Saccharomyces cerevisiae S288C: one gene and its partner. Changing the gene in region 1 together with any one later gene gives a genetic interaction. Each region holds a gene or a part of one and is shown on either strand. Other genes may lie near its edges.

Region 1 (5,243 bases):
AGGAGATGATGAAGAGGGTACCGCTTCCCCTAATGGTGCTTCGTTTTGGATTTCGTCACAACTGTCTGAATCACGCCGAAAATCAGATGTTTGCCTAATTTCTGGTGTCATCTCCCTTGATATTTGCTCTATCAAATTGTCTAGGTCTTCGTTTACAGCCCTATTTGTATGTGGTGATTTTTTGTTTTCACTTGGACTTTTCAAAGATGCTGTCGACGAAAGATAATCTGATTTGGAGTGCTCGCTGGATTTTTTCGCTTGTAATTCCACAGACTCTCTTGAAGCCATAAGTTTAGGCACCCCATCTGAGAGATAGCCTACTTCCTTGTCACTAGGACTAATATCACTCTTACTGACGTTATTATCATTGCTGTCTTTATTTTCACCCGTATTTTCATCATGCTCACCATTAACATCTGTATAATTGAGCTTGGGTAAACTAGGCAAATTAGATATTTTTTGCTTGTGAATTTCTGAACCTTTTGTGCCATCCTCGGAAGAGTAGTCATATTCGTCACTACTGTCCCATCCAGCGCCGTCATAACTTGCTTGAGATGCGCTAACCCATCTATACGATTTCTTTCTACCGACCTGTTCAGTGCTCATAATAAATATCCGCTTTCCAGAAAAAGGGTAATGATCAAACAGTCCCTTTTAACTATAATGCAAGTTTTGTGTTTACCTTGTTAACCATGTATGAAAGTGGTATTTAGGAATACTTTTAAGTGCCTTACAGAATTCTTGGCATGAGAAAAACAAAATAGCTACCCGGAATGAAACACTAATGTGTCACCAAACAAACAAACGACGTTATATAATTGTTGTGATATTTGCATCTTCATCTTATGATGATGAGAATATAAATAATTTTTAATCGTATTAAGTGTATATATGAATAAGCTATTAACCCTACCCATTAATTTCCGGGCGGGTTGTTATTTTTATCAGTATTGGCCTCTGCCGGGCGGCTAGCACGCTGGGTAGCTGCTGCGACAGCGGCTTCTGCTGCTTGCATAGCATTTTTTTGCATTTTTTTACCTGCAAACTTCATACAAAATGGCATCAAGGATGTATTGAGGGCAACCCATGCCACGAGAATACCGTAATTTCTTCCCATTTTTCTTTTGGTTAAATTCAAAAAAATCACTTTATAGATATCCACGGCATTATGGATTGGCATTATGTAGCCGTACCTGTAAAATTCGTTGTTCAAAACCATTGGGTAGAATGAAGCAGAAATATTTAATATGATCCACGTCATCAACCAAATACTCAGGTATGGAGGGCAGTAAGCTATAACTAAGCTGAGAACGTTTTCATTGGCACCACCAACAGCCATCATTACCAACCACGTAGACATCCAATATACTACGAATCCTCCTCTGCCAAAGGCGGGGGTGAAATCGATCCTAAAAATTGCAGATACGGTACAGAATCCAATGGAAAGAAGAAAATAAGTTGCCCAGGAAATTAGAAGCCTGTAGATTAAAATATGCTTTGGCTTCAGAACTCTGGCCATTTCTCCGTGCAACTTACCATATAATGACAGTTGTAAAACGGTTAACAAAATACAATAAATCAGACCGACCTGCAGAGGGGCCATTAGAATACGATCAGCAAAGGGACGATAATCGTTGTAGGTGAACAACAACTGTCCTGCAATCGCCCAGTTCTCCATGTTTATATTAAGATCTCTGTCATTAGAAGTGATGTTGCTCATCAATGAGGGAAGATATTCCTTGACGTAATATTTCTGAAGGCGGACCTCCAATTGTTGCATGAGTGGTAGAATGGTCGATTTAACACTCGATGGGTCACGACCACTTTCAAACACGGATTCAAAAAAAATTGATGAATTGAACTCCGAGTTTGCGTCTTGGCTAATCAAAGAATTATACAAAGTGTCTGTAGCATTAGGTTTAACGTTTAACGCCAGCCAGTATCTCTCATCGTAAATTAAATCGACTATCTTTCTGTCAATTTCGGTGGAGTTCGTCGTACCAAATTTCCTATGAAATGATGTTGCGTTGTATATATGCCATGTCCCGGGGACAGACGCTAACAATGAGGGTATGATCGCGGAAATAGATTGAACTGAAGTATTAGATGGCGCATCCTGCAATACAACAATATTTTTCACTTTGAAAAAGTAACGATCTGTTCCGTAACAGGCACCCCAGTAAATCGATATGAGCGATACACACACACAAGCAATGAAGAAGTTGTTCAAAACAAACTTCGAGAGAATCTTTTTCCTATGATTTCGCAGTCTTGGAGAAAAAAGCCCTGTTTGAATTCTTGCCAAGGGACCGCCGTCGTTACCGCCCTTCTCTTCCTCATTAGCGCCACCTTCCCCCACAGATGACAATGAGGACGGCTTTTCATCAGGAGGCCGATAGTCTTCTAATGACTTTGCTAAGTCAGAAGAATGGCCGGAACCCTCAGCAAATCGCTGATTACTGTACGAAACCCCGTCCCTGCCGCCAGTAAATGCAGCTGCTGCTGCAAAACTAGGGTCCTCAATGTACTGTGACTCTTCATCACCAACCGATTTAGTCATATTTGTTCTCTGTACGGCTACTTACACTTATGTCAGTACCCGATTCTTACGGCGTATAAAAGATTAAAGAAACAGGATATGTGGCTTGATATATACAAAAAAAAAGAACGATATGGAGTACACTATGTATCTCTCAACAATGCTAAGATATGAAGACGCTTATTGACTACGCCAGTCCGTTTTCCATTCCCTTCTTCGAATAGGGTGGCCCGTTGATGACAAAGCTGCGAGTCATCTATCATCAAACAAACTCACGGCTTTCGCTTTTCTTTAGTCTATTTCGGATTGTACCACCTCCTCGGACATTCATAAAAGGATTCGAAAACGAATAACCACGCATATACACGGAAATAGGAGAAAACTAAACGGGAATCGGTTTATTTTTTTCTCAACATTTCTTTTTCCTGATTTTCCATCCTTTTCGAGATCCACCTATTGTGGTGAAAAATAACGAAAATATGTGCTTTAGGTGTGCAAGGCATAATGTGTGGCATACTGGAAGGAACAAGTTGAACACGCCAGCTGGAAAGAAGTTCAATACCAACTTGCCCAATGCCTAACTCAAATGTTCGGATTCCTCCTACTGTTCCATCGAAGATAATAGATGTGGTCGACCAAGCGCTAAGAGCGCGACTCTTAGGTGGCAGCACCTTCAATTCAGGGTTTGATAGTTTAGATTCCGTACTTAACTTACAGTTTAGACTACATTACCATGTTATTGGATCGAATGGGCCTGCAAAACCAGTTTGTGATGTTTTACTGAAGGAAAGTCAAAATTTAGAAAAGAATATGAGTATGATGGAGGAGTTGAATGACTATCCGGAGATTACAAAACTAGTGGAGAAAATTCTGTTCAATTGCCTCGGTATTCTTTTCTTCCACAGGGGCCAATTTCAGGAATCGCAGCGGTGCTTGCTGCACTCGTTGAAAATTCATAATAACACTGCATCGCAAAAAACAGCACTTATGGAGCAGTATGATAGGTATTTGATCGTAGAAAACCTGTACTACCGTGGTCTAGTTTCGCAAGACATAAATATCATGCAAAATGTTTTTTACAAAGAACTACTGGCCCACGTGGATACGATCCCTCCCGAATCAAACGGTCTTCTTTTCGAATACATCAGCTTGATCGTCGCAAAACTCAGGTTCAATCAAATTCAGGATTTAGCAGAAAATTTTAAAACTACCGTCGAAAATCCTTTTATTCTTTTCCTTTACATGATAAAGAAGTTCCAGTCACCTCTCAAAAAGCACATTGATAATGATGATCTTTATTTGAAGTTCGGACAGAACGTTTTGTTGAAGGCCAAATTTCCTACTGCTAGTGAGACAAATGATGAAGCTTTGGAGCATTTTAATGTCTTTTTGCAGTATTATTTCAAATTCACTCACATAAAAAAAATAAAAGTGAATCCCAGTTGGTATAATTTCATAATATCTTCAATGGAAAAGACTTTTCAAAGTATTGAAGTTTCGAAAACAGCAATGTTTCTTTTCCAAAACCTAAGCGATAACAGTAATGACGAAATAAAGAAGAAGACATTTAAAAGAGAATCTATACTAAATTTTGTTAATTTTGTGAAATACAACGACAAGTACTATCAACTGCACGATAACTCCCACCGTGACATAATTTCATTCATTGATGCGTATTCTTTTATTTTACAAAACTCCTCCAAAACCGATTCAATCGAAAATGTTTTTGATTACGATAATACGGTATCTACGTTTGCGACTTCCTTGAATTCCTTCTACAAAGAATATAATTTGCCATTAATGAGCCAATCAGAATCTTTAGATTGGCTAGAAAACAGCACCAGATGTGTATACCCAGGAAACATTTCGAAAGTTCTAACAAATGCGTGGTCAACATTGTACGAAATCAGAAAATATCAGTTAGATTTTCTTGTATCTAATAATTTGACTTCATATCTATGTAATGCAATGATGCTGTCCACAAAAGAAAAAGACAATGCTGATGTAGAAGAGCAGGAAGAAGGAGAGGAGGAGAAGGCATTACGTGAATTACAATTTAAATATTCTTACACTCTAGCACAACAGAGGCACATTGAAACTGCAATCAAGACTCTAGAATCATTGATATTAAGTAAAAACCCAAATTACTACAAAGCTTGGCATCTATTAGCTCTTTGTAGGTCTGTGCAAGAGGATAAGGAAATGTCGTACAAGATAGTTTGCTCTGTTCTAGAAGCTATGAATGAAAGTCTTCAGAACAATACTTTACTTCTGAATGATAGATGGCAATTTATTCACCTAAAATTAACGCAATTGGCGCTAATTGAAGAAATTTTTGGCACTTTAGAGGCACTGGAGACACTTCCAGAGGTCTTTGAATTATACGCAACATTATTTCCAGATTCACAACCTGAATTGAACAGCATGGGTCCCAAATATTCTCAAACTAAAGAATATCTTTTACAAATGGTGTGGATTTTTGCTGCAAATATGTACATGAGAACAAAAGACAATGATGAGGATGCCAAGGCCGCCATCAAAGAAGCCTCCAATGTCGAAAGTAAATTCAAGAATTTAAATTGTAATATTGCTAACGGTTATTTATCAATAATAAAAGATGAACCAGGCGTGGCATTAAAGGAATTTGAAACAGTTCTGTACTATGATGAGAATAATTTAGATGCCTTGGTCGGATTCGCTGAAT
Region 2 (3,277 bases), on another chromosome or scaffold:
TACCTACTACACAGTATTTGGAAGCTAGGGAGCTCACCCGCGATATTCTGTATAGCGGATACAGGCCAGTAATGTACCCAGTGAAGGAAAACCCGCTATTCAGAGATAAGAAGAGAAAGTCCTTGCAAACGTTATTAACAATGAACGAGAAAACAAACGCAGAGGCGAAGACGATCGATGAGAAAAAGCACAAGAACATATTGTTTGGTGAACGTGGCACTGGTGGTATAATGTCAGGTGGCGTGAACGGTACATGGAAGTACAATCCCACCGTACCCAATGAGCTGTTGCCATTCAATTGGTGGTCTACGTCCAGTATGGGTATGGAATATTTTCCTGAATGGAAAAACGTGCCCCCATATATGATGAGAAAGTTGAAGCCGTTTGACAAGGCACTGCAAATGCGGTTGACACACAAAAGCAAAAAAAAGATGAAATAAATAATAAATATTTGGCATATACATATGGAAAATGATTTTATAGCACGATTCCTCATACATAATAATAATAATAATAATAGGAAACAAAACTATTAATTTTTGTAACCGATTTGAACTCACATTAGGGATCCACGTCACGCCGTGCGCGGAACGGTAGGATGAAAAAGGATAAACAGAACTTACATACAAAAAACTCAAATCAACGCAACAGGTATGTAGTGAAGTAAAACTAGACAAAGAGAAGGATACTTTAGTTAGATATAAGAATAGTATGAAAAGATTAAAAATTAAAATATTAGAAGAACAAATTATAATAAAAGAAAGCGGGGTGAATGATAATAATAATAATAATAATAATAATATTAGTTAGAAATAAGACTTCTTCATAATCGTTAATGAAGAAGTGCATATGATTTGTTATTTTTTTTCTGGTATTTTTTTCATTTTTTTCGGGTTTTCCTTGGGTATAATTTTTTGTTTCTTCCGAAAGACGGAAAGGGATGAGGGAAAACGGAGTTTTCTTATTTGCTTTCTTTTTTCCCTAATTTATTCACGGTGTCCATTTATTATATTCTTAATTGAAAGTGGCGTAAAATTTAAGTTGGTGCGCTTCAATTAGACTTGGGAAATGGTTGGAACACCGACTTGGCCAGTTCTTCTTCTCTTGGAGAAAGAACCAGAACCAAAGGCACCATTGGAGATCATGTTGAAAACAGACATCAGGGTCTTAGCCAAAAAGATGGCACAAGAGAAGTAGAGGAATGCAACAGCGGCTTGAGCTTGTCTACATCTGGTACCGGAACCTTGAGTAATCTTGTTACTGTCAACGTATGAGCTGTTGTTACATGAGTGAGCTCTGATACCAACGGCCAACACTGTACCGGCAGTGAAAGTGAACACAAAGTTCAAAAAGTCCAGTGTGAACAAAACTAGTGGCCATGCCAATGGTTCAATGAAGTTGGCAAAGACACCGTACAATGAATCGGTGAATATACCATATGCACAAGCAAACATACAGTAGTTTACTCTGGAGCTGTGCCTATGTTGGGTGTTTAACAACGAACTGATTAAACCGATGGAAATAACCAAAAATAGGAAATTTATTATACGTAGAATGTTATCAGCTAGGGCTAGCATTATGGGATTATATTGTTATTAGGTATGCTTTGAGAAGAAAAGTTTTTTTAACCGATTTTTCTTATTGAAGATGTTTTTTAAAGAAATGTTTATTTATCCTTTTAAAAAAGCGCGATGAGCAGAAAAATTAAAAATGTAAAACCTTTTCAATTGTATTTTTTCTTGATCAATTGCGAACAAAATAGTGGTATAAGTTAAATTTTCTTAAAAAAAAAAAAGGAGACGTAGAAGAAGAAAGAAAAAAGTATCTTTTAATTACAAAACAAAGACTCTTTTATAAAGGAAAATCTGACAGAAGATTGGGGCCAAGGAATTTATAGGGGTATGATTTTTCTGTATACATATATGAGGAAGAGGGGAGGGAAATGGAAGAAGAAGTAGGAAGAAAAAAAAATCAAACCAATTCTAGTCAATTCCGTTAAGGCAGCAAGCTGCCCATAAGTTTCTGTGAGGGGGCGATCACTTTTATGTTTTGGGCATTTTAATTATGACGCAGAGGTCCGCGGACAAGGGGTTTGCGATGGACCTTTTAAAGCAACCTTGGGCCTACCTCAGGGAAATGCCCCTACCAACGTCACTAACGGGCGTGTGCCAAATGGGCCGATGCTCAGATGCGGCCGTTAAAATGGGGGTGGTGTTTCGGGGCCCCGTCCGTATGTGGAAATACCAAAACAGTAGGGACATGCATCCTTACATCATCCGGTCAATCATCAGGGTAATACATATTTTATACTTAATCCGAGATTCGGACCCCTAGTGACAGAATTAACCGCATAGAACCTCTCAAGCCCGTTTACAAACAAAAGCCGCATTGCATTCTCCTTCATGGGATGGTTTATCGAAATAGTTGGAATTCATTCAACAAGGATGTGATGCAACTACACAACAGTATGCTGAATGAAGGCCTATGGAAATAGCCGGGAGGAGGCAACAGTTCCTTTGTATCGGCAATCGGGCTCCGCGAGAAAGCCGCGTATTCCTCCTGGCTGCTTCCTTTCTCACCGCTGCCGAAAAGCTTAATTATCTGTATAGTTTGTTCCGATGAGCGAAACGGCGTTAACATCAAGGGTTAAGGTAGGGAAAGTGGGAATGACGAGAATTTTTTGCTACGCTTTTTTAGCAATTTAGTTTTGGAAATATTGTGGCTGCTCTTAATTGTCCGCCTAAGGAAAAGACATGAGCAACTATGCAACATAGGACAAAAGAAAGAAGAAAAAAGGAGATCTCCGGAGAGGCAGGCGGCTTTGCCGTTGATTGTAATCTCTTTGTTCAGGAAATTGATATAGTTAATTGTATATGGGATTAGCAGTTCTATTTCATGGATTGCAAATCAAACGTGTGGCTCCTCGAGCGGTAGAGACATCTTTCCCGCTGATGTGTGCAACTTCATATATGTTCATATATGAAATTACGTTTGATTGGGCAAACATATTCCTGCTTTAATAAATATACTCAATTGTTGCAGTTCGTGAAAATTGTAACACCACCTTGAAGTGCATTTCACGAGTGTGTAACTGGGCATTTTATGAAACTTCTTGAGTACTACTTGTGTAAAGAAAGCGAGGTTAGCAGTTTAGTTAGTTGGCTCTGCATCGCTTTTAACGAGGATTACTTCTCACTCTTAAATCGCTAGTTGGCTTTTTTTAGCACTCGACACGCATATCCCAGTTTTGGTTTTCATTTCTCTTGAAATAATAATG

What was found.
Region 2: mutations in SNG1 (region 1) and NCE102 impair growth when combined (synthetic growth defect), as found in Saccharomyces cerevisiae (one study listed by BioGRID).

What each region holds. Positions count from the first base shown.
Region 1 is NC_001139.9:891,581-896,823, forward strand, and holds SNG1 (Sng1p), read right to left. Parts: upstream 2,561-5,243; coding exon 917-2,560; downstream 1-916. Other genes in the region: FYV8 (Fyv8p), read right to left, coding at 1-606; YPP1 (Ypp1p), read left to right, coding at 3,113-5,243. UniProt on the Saccharomyces cerevisiae protein: May function as a N-methyl-N'nitro-N-nitrosoguanidine (MNNG) export permease.
Region 2 is NC_001148.4:828,218-831,494, reverse strand, and holds NCE102 (Nce102p), read right to left. Parts: upstream 1,578-3,277; coding exon 1,056-1,577; downstream 1-1,055. Other genes in the region: SUE1 (Sue1p), read left to right, coding at 1-440. UniProt on the Saccharomyces cerevisiae protein: Involved in membrane organization. Required for the formation of membrane compartments of CAN1 (MCCs), localization of CAN1 at the MCCs and subsequent invagination of the plasma membrane at the MCCs sites.